Schizosaccharomyces pombe: one gene and its partner. Changing the gene in region 1 together with any one later gene gives a genetic interaction. Each region holds a gene or a part of one and is shown on either strand. Other genes may lie near its edges.

What was found.
Region 2: mutations in pmk1 (region 1) and cph1 together harm fitness more than expected from each alone (negative genetic interaction), as found in Schizosaccharomyces pombe (2 studies listed by BioGRID).

The regions. Positions count from the first base shown.
Region 1 is NC_003423.3:728,815-733,501, reverse strand, and holds pmk1 (MAP kinase Pmk1), read right to left. Parts: upstream 2,687-4,687; 5' UTR 2,643-2,686; coding exon 2,577-2,642; exon of another isoform or gene 2,477-2,576; coding exon 2,297-2,476; intron 2,024-2,296; coding exon 1,952-2,023; intron 1,870-1,951; coding exon 919-1,869; 3' UTR 550-918; downstream 1-549. Other genes in the region: serine/threonine protein kinase Vps15, read right to left, coding at 2,856-4,687. UniProt on the Schizosaccharomyces pombe protein: Regulates cell integrity and functions coordinately with the protein kinase C pathway (pck1 and pck2). Involved the regulation of wall architecture, cell shape, cytokinesis in exponential and stationary phase, and metabolism of ions.
Region 2 is NC_003424.3:797,355-801,498, reverse strand, and holds cph1 (Clr6 histone deacetylase-associated PHD protein-1 Cph1), read right to left. Parts: upstream 2,133-4,144; 5' UTR 1,950-2,132; coding exon 735-1,949; 3' UTR 518-734; downstream 1-517. Other genes in the region: ATP-dependent RNA helicase Upf1, read left to right, coding at 1-189; CCR4-Not complex subunit Mot2, read left to right, coding at 2,899-2,951, 3,002-3,181, 3,270-4,144.

The sequences.
Region 1 (4,687 bases):
TTTAGAAACCCAACCATTAATGACTTTTTGTTCACTTATTTGTGACGTCGTTTTTCCCTTTTATTTTTCCCGTTAGCCTTTACTGGAATCAAGGTCGCCCGCCTTCTGCTTTATTTCATTGCTAGTAATGGATGCCATAGCGGCAATTGCCAAAATTTTCTCCTAAAAAAAACTGTTCCTTTTATATAGGATTTGCGCATCATGATTTGCTTTCCCAAAAAACAACGGAATCTGTACGACCTTTTTTGCAGGTATTTGTAAAGGCTTTCCCTTTCTATTGTAAAACTTCATTCGCGTCTCGAATATCATCTTACATATTTTTTCTGATTTATAAAAATATGCACATAATTTCATATTCGACCGCTTTGCATTTCATTATAAGACGCTTCTACTTGAAGAGAGCTATCCTTGTGCACGAATGTTGTTTAATTGTTGCAGGATACAAATTCATGACTGATGTATTTATTCATCTATTTTGTCTTGGTTAGTTAGTTTTGTGATTTCATTGGGATGTTCCCTAATAAAGGAAATTACTCTACCACAGATATACTCGTTCACTAGTAAAAGTAATATTTTTAAGTAATTAGCTGTTCTATTTATATATTTTTCTAGTTGTAGTACGGGTGTATATGCATGCATGTATGTATAACAAAATGTTTCAAGCTGTGAGACTATAAAGCGTGCAAGAAAAGGGAGCACAAAGATCGCCAAATATTATATGCAAAACAGTAAATGAAGGACTAATGCAAATGAGTATTTTTTATGGAAATTAAACGAGCAAACAGAGATTCGACAGTAGCCAGCAAAGCTCAAAAGATAGCAATAGCTAATTTATGTAAAAATGAGAAAACGCAATGAATGATTTGTATGCAAATGTTACCGTAAAAAGGCTCAATAAAACCAGCTGCTGCCAATGTATTAGTTATGGCGATTATCATCAGACTTATGGTCTATAGCAGCAGTTTCATTATAAGAATGATCATGGCGCTTTTTGTTAGAGGTTTGAGAGGATGAAGAGCTACTAACATTGAAAGAACCATTGTCATTAGATGGAACGGTTTGGGCTGGTTGCGGGATGTTGACTGTTGGGTTTGTTGGATGAGAGCGGCGTCGGACTTTCTGACGGAAGTTTAAAACTTCATCTAAAATGACACGGCGTAACTCATTTGCATCCTCAATGTATTCAAAGCTGAAATCAAAGACGGAATCACACACAGGTTCGTCAGAGGGATCATGCCAAACAGCTAAATAGGGATGTTCTAAAGCATCGTCAACCGAAATACGTCTGTTGGGGTCGAAAGCCAAGAGCTTAGCAAGCAGGTCAAGAGCCAAAGGATTGGCTTTAGGAAAATTGGTTTCAAAAGGAATAGGTCTTTGCTTTGGCAAGCTTCGAACATACTCCTGTGCACGGGAACTGCTTATATGAGACAGGGTTTCCTCATCAGGTGTGCCAAGTTGATGCAAAATTAAATTTAACTGATGAACAAAATCTTTTCCCTTAAACAAAGGGGTTCCACCTAATAGCTCTGCCAAAATGCAACCAACACTCCAAACATCAATACCTTTATGATAGCTGCTGAACGAAAGCATAATTTCCGGAGCTCTGTACCAGCGCGTTGCCACATACTCCGTCATAAAACCAGGATTTTCTTCTGGATTTTCAGAACATCCGCGAGCGAGGCCAAAATCGCAAATTTTCAGCTCACAATCAGCGTTAACTAAAAGATTACCTGGCTTTAAGTCACGATGAATAACGTTGGCAGAATGAATATACTTTAAACCACAAAGTATCTGGTAAATGAATGATTGAAAATGCGCATCCGTTAATGGCTGACCGGATTTAATAATAGCATTCAAATCGGCCTCCATCTATTATAATAGTTAGTAAGTAATTATACAAATATTTCCGTGACTAAAACAGACACCATATGTGGATCATCGCGTAACATACCAACTCTTCGTAAATGTAAACTTCATTAAAATTGTATGGATTTATAATGTCGAGATCGTAAATGCAAGTAATCTACCATGTTAGTAAAGTTTATAAAAAATAGGAAAGACATCACTATGCAAATGTAAGACAATGAGCAGTTCAAATTTTTTAATCAACCGAATTCCAAACATTATATCAAGATTTATAAAGGAAATACTTTTCAAGGATGATTAGAACTCATTTCTCATAGAAGACTTTTCATTGTATAAAAATTTGCATTTTCATCAAAATGCACCTCGTTAATACATCCCGGTGATGATGAGTAATCAATCACAGGAAGCCGTTTTTGCATAAAAGACTTACGTTACGATGATTACGAAAATGAATCAGCAGTTTTATCTCTCTCAAAGCTCTTTTTGTAAGAATGGATTTAGAAAACACATTCGTAATTTTTTTTATGGCTACAGCCTCTTGATCTTTGCTAGCCACGTTTCTTGCTGCACAAACAATGCCGTAAGCGCCTTGACCCAACTCCTTCACTACCTAAACTATGTTAGTTTTCCTAAAAGTTCAAGCAGATGCGATTTTCTGTCAAGTAAACAAAATGTTTTGCAAATGCAGCAGTTACCCAAATATCTCATACCTTAAAATTAGGCTCGACATACATCTCCTGGTTAAACACACGGTAAACACGATGTCGACGGTCCATCCTTGCGACTTATAGCATGCAACTTGAATTTTTAGCTGTTTGGCAAAAGGGATGTGGAAAAAACTACAGTACATCACTTGTAGTGATTAACGATGCCTTATATTTCACTATTTGAATGCAAGTCGGTTAGATTTGAAGACTATCAGATGGAATTTATGGTATTAAAGAATATGCATACAAATCTAATAAATATATGAGGAATACTAAAAGAAACTAGGTCCAGAGTTCAAGACTACCAAAAGCGTCAACAATAAGCACTATAGCGTACGGTTGGTACAAGAAGGCCATGTCAACGATGGGGTGCAGACGATTTTCGCTAGGTAGATTCTTTTGCTGTTGAAGGAATAGAAGAGGCCTTGACACTCCCGAAGACTTTGGGCGTACATTCTGTTGTTCAGAGACTTTTTGGTAGATAGGAGGTTTGTTATGTATTAAAGATAGTTTTGAACTCTCGGAGTCGTTGGTCACCGACGAACTAGCAGAGACATTGTGGGGATTCCAAATAAACGCATGAGGGCTTCCAGAAGCGGCAATGAGAAAAAGTGGCTCTCGTTCGACAGAACCTGCAGACGGACCTCTGTACCTATAGATTGGACTAGATATACAAGGCCAAGGAGAGTCGAATTTGGTATTCAAATCTCTTAATCCCATGTCATTGCCAGAATCTATATCAAACTTTTTTTTTTCATTAAAAGCATCAATTCCAACAGATACCGGAATCGGACTGGTGAGTGAAGAATTCCAGTTTTCTAAGAAAACCTCTTCGGTTTTCCCTTTTTCAACGTCAAAATTTACTATGCCTGAAGCGGATCTGTGACTCGCTGGAACTGCATCTTCAAGATTAACTTCTTTATTATCCAAGTTGGTAAGGACGCTAAAACTGATACTGACTGTAGTGCTTCCAAACGAGTTTAACATTCCGTGATTTTCTAAAGGATTGATGGGAATAGTAGAGTTAATTGGCTGAGTACTACTTGAACTTGTACTTGAGCTACCTGGAACCTTGGTAACGGGACTATTGTTATTTCCGGAAGTATACTCATTAACGTTGCTACGTTTTTTGGTAACATCTAAAAGAAGATGCATCTGATCAATCCTGGCTGGCATATGCCAAGAGCATGATAATGTCCCAAAGCGGAGGTCCCAAAGTAAGAGCCATCCTTTGGTAGTCCCAATTAAAGCCCAATTACAACCCTCAGAAACTACTACACTAGTAGCTGACCCACACTGTAATGGTAATTGGTCTGATGACAAAACCCTCATCATTCCCACGTCTAAGTATACGATGCGTGACCATTTTGTAACAACGACTAGACGGATACTCCCGTCGTGAAATGTAGAAGCTTCCATGGAGGTTACAGAATCACTGAAATCCAAATTGGGAATACGACCAGCCGAAATTAGAGTATGCCGCTGATTGTTAACGTCAAGTCTGTGAACTTCCACAGAGCCATCTTGAGTAACAGAAGCAAAAGCGTATGTATTACCTAGAAAGCATCCATTGACCACAGAAAATCTATTCCTCTCGCCATTACGTCGCGTATGCCCATAACTTAATCGGCATTCACATCTCATAGTTGAAATATGACGAACACTTTCAACTAATTGCCATGCTCTTACAACACCGTCAGATCCCAAGGTAACGAAAAAAGATGAATCTGGACTAACCAAAACTTTCTTCGTACCTCCATCAAGAAGGCTTCCTAAATATATCTGAGCAACTCGTGATCCTTCTGGATGCCATTCATGAGTCTGAACTATTTTATTCGCAGCCTTCGCAGACACCTTTGTTCTACGACGCAAAGGTATATTAGAAGCCCAGCTTGGTGAAACAGCAGCACCAACGTTAAGTGTCGAAGCCGCTGCTTCTGCATAAATTTTATTTAAATAATTTAAGACGCATGGATTAGTTCCAGTATACGATGATTTTTTTGCGCCATTTTGCCTCGTGGTAAGCTTTTTCAAATCGATATGAGTAGTAAATGATCTTTGGCTTCGAATACCGGCAACATTAGTTGTATCATTCGTTGAAACCCTAGAAGAGA
Region 2 (4,144 bases), on another chromosome or scaffold:
CAGAATGCCGGTTCTGCCATGTTACCTTCGTTTTCTAATCTTCCGAACTTATACTCTTCCTCGTATCTTGAAGAATGGAATGTCTTTGCTCAATACAAACGAAGAGAAAGCAACGCTACCGACTTTGAAGACTTTAGAAGTCAGGTTGGTGATGATGAAAGCAAGTTCGACGAACCTACTAGGTTCTAGTTAATAAGTATTTGCTTACTTGTAATTACGAATGCCAACATATCTTTTATTTGTTGATATTTTTGGTGTTCAAGTTTTATGGACCGTTTGGTCTGTAAGCGTTTTAAACCATTGATATGGCTGTTAAATAGACTTTAGTAATAGAACCTTTCCTTATCACTTTCTTTTATTTTATTCCTCTTTGTCTAGTAAATGCATCTTACTCATATATACTTATATATACTTATATATACTTATATATACTCACACGGTACAATACGCGTATAAAATTTAAGTATTGAGAAGTTGTTAGTATAAAATAGAACTTTTGCCCTATTAGGAAGGATTTGCAATGATTAATTGCATAACGAAAATTTTTTAAAAGCCTTAATGGAGAAAAGTAATGTAAAATAAGCCAATTACAACAGATAGCCAGTTCTAAGAGGTTTTATAAATACAACATTAGCAAAAAAATAACAGAAAACAACCTTTTCTGACGATTTGAACACGACAGATTAGATTAACGTAGTCTGATTTTATACAAAATGTAAAAATATCGTAAAAATTCAAGTGCGTGCCTTATTGAATAAAGTGCGTAGTGCAATAGGTAGGTTTGGGTGCGTTCTCGCAGGAAGTAGTGCGCTTTTTACGTCTGGAGGAATAACCTCTAACTCTCGTTTTTTCCTTTCATTATTAAACTTTTTAGCTTCTATGCCAATCGCGTACAAAAAATCTTTGATGAGACCGTCTTCTGAAACTTTGTAGAGACAACTCACGGGTAATCTTGGGAAATAGAGAAGTTCATCACTTGGAAACTCTCCCATAAGAAATTGCCATCCTGAAATCATGACTTTAGGATTAAGAGTATTAGAAGTTGTATCCAACACCAAGGGCGTCCTTATCACCACGGCGTTTTTTGGTACTCTCATACCTTTTTTTCCAATGGAGTCATGAGAGCATTTTTTAGCATGCTCTTTACAATTTTTATGATAGAAGGTGTCACACAGCTGGCAACCATAGACCCAACAAGCACCCATTGATGGCTTAGAGCAATAACCACAGTAAGCTAGATTAGTGATAGAGGAGCCAGTCGGCAAAGCAGAAAACTCGTCAGTATCCATTTCTCCTTCAGTTTCCTTATAAGCACCTGTATCCCCACGAGATATTCCATGGAAATAATGCACAAGGTCGTCGGGCAATCGGTACTGCGAGGGATTCTGAGAATCAATCCAATCGTAAAGCTGGGACCATATACTAAGAGGGTGCTTAGGAGGGTGATGCGATTTGATTGAGCAAGTCACACAAAACCAAGATCCTTCTGGAATATTTTCAGGAGTCAAGGGAGGTTCCAAGCATGAAAGATGGAAACTGCAAGGACATCCCTCGCAACAAATAAAAAGACCTCTTCCTCCGCATGCACTACAATAGTCGACGTTGCGTATAGTCGCTTTTCGTCTCCGTCGCTTTACAGGAGTTTGTTGAGATTCGGTTTCGAGATGACTTTTTAGGGAACTACCCCGGCTTTTTTGAATAGGTGCTTTATTTGGAGATTTATTCGAATAACTAGCTTTTTGTTTTTTCACTGGAGAACTTATATCCATCTCTTTGTCTTGGCTAATTGGCAAGACATTTACATGGTCAGTTGAAGAGTGAGTTGATGATGTTAAAGAATTATTTTTAAAATTAGAAGGGGGACCTTCATTTACGAAAGAGTCGCCATGACTATTATTAGAAATTGAAGGTACTGTAGGTTGAGATGAATTGTTTATAGAGGATGCCATTAGATACTTCCCATGCTATGAGCAAAGCAACATGTAATACGCGACGGTTAGCACTTAGAAATATCAATACTATCCTTAATGTTTTAAGGAATATTAAAGGTAAAATTAATGGTTATCGTAAAAAAGAACAATGGTCGAGGTTGTAAGTATATTATAGTGAAGCAACGCTGTTATGAAGATGCTAAGTTACAACAAGTCTTTGAACGCCAAACGTCGTTGCAATTAGACTTAGAAAACTACTTAAAGATATCTGATTTTCGAGAGGAGCATTTAGTATAAATGATTATCATAAGAATAAATTCCCTTCTATATGTAAAATATTTGAACATTTTGTTAAAAACTATTATCCATTTGATGGAACATGGAGCGTAAATTAAGTAGAGAAGCACTTTATGCCTCTTATTATGTTGTTCATCGTTTTTTCGTCAATTCAATATATTCACTAATTACTTAGAAGATGAAATAACTAAAGAATTTGACCACAACGTGAAAAAGTTGTATATATAATACATTCGTTTACAAACGTTTACTGCAATTAATTATCAAGATGAAATTATAGACGGTGAAACTTTTAAGGGTACTTTTTGTTGTTCAAACACAATTCCAAAAACCTTTGGAATAAGAATTTTCTCAAATTTCTTAATTCATGTCTATTAATTGCTATTTTTCGTGTGGTATATACTGTTCAAATCCAACCTCTCACCTAGTCATTGCCTCCTTCTTTTACACTAAGTTGTAAGTAAACTTATAACCAACCACAACTCGGTTTGCCCTTTAAAAAATATTTGTTTGAAGTCTAATGAATATTAAGGGAATTAACTAAATTAAATTAAAATCAAAGATTTGATTTAAGATATTTGAAGACTTCCTCTGTATTGTATAACGAGCGACCTTAAACAGTATCGATTTGGAGAGCACTGTGACGGAGATTTGACATATTTCACACAAAATGTTAAAAACGCAAGAGATATATTCTTCAGAAGATGAGGATGACATGTGTTGGTATGTTTTACTAGCCGATTAGTATCAAAATTAACTGACAATTGCAACAGTCCTCTATGTATGGAAGAAATTGATATCTCTGATAAAAACTTCAAACCATGCCAATGCGGATACAGAGTTTGTAGATTTTGCTGGCACCATATCAAAGAAGATCTAAATGGCCGTTGTCCTGCATGTCGCCGTCTGTACACTGAAGAAAATGTTCAATGGCGGCCTGTCACGGCAGAGGAGTATGTAATTCAGATTATAGAATTCTTGTTTAAGCATAATCTTGTTTAAATTCACTTTTATTTTTAAACATGTCGCTAATGTTTTTAGATGGAAGATGGACTTACATCGAAAAAACGAGAGGAAGAAACGCGAGAAAGAGAGGAAGGAAGTCGAGCTTTCAAACAGGAAGCATCTTGCAAATATTCGTGTTGTACAAAAGAACCTTGCCTATGTAAACGGCCTTTCTCCCAAAGTTGCAAATGAGGAGAATATCAACGTTCTGAAGGGACCTGAATACTTTGGTCAATACGGAAAGATTATTAAAATTGCAATAAATAAGAAGGCTGCTGCAAATTCTGCAAATGGTCATGTTGGAGTTTATATTACATACCAAAGAAAAGAAGATGCTGCACGAGCGATTGCTGCAATTGATGGCAGCGTAAGTGATGGGCGACATCTTCGCGCATCTTATGGTACCACTAAATATTGCACTTCTTATTTACGGAATCAGCAATGCCCCAATCCTTCTTGCATGTATTTACATGAACCCGGTGACGAGGTGGATAGTTATACTAAAGAAGACTTGGCATCTCTTCAACATACCCGTCCTCTTTCCACTAAACCTAATGTGGTAAATGGTGCTACTCATTCTCCTTCTCCTTCTCTTCCATTCAAAACACCTCTACTTCCTGTTACGAAAACACCGTTAGAAGAGGCTAATAGTAGTCCAGCTGCACAAAATCAGCATATTACAACAGTTGATCATGTTCATCCACAAGTGTCAATGACACCTTCCTTATCCACTAATAACACTGCTACCAGCGTTCCTGCCCCTTATTCTTCTGCTGCTTCTGTAAACGTCGTTCCTGGACATGCAACAACTATTCTTCATCACGAAGAGAGTTCTGCTCTTCCACCAACTGCTGCTTGGGCAAAATTATCTCCAAGCGTATTACAAGAACGATTACGTGCCGCTGTTAATC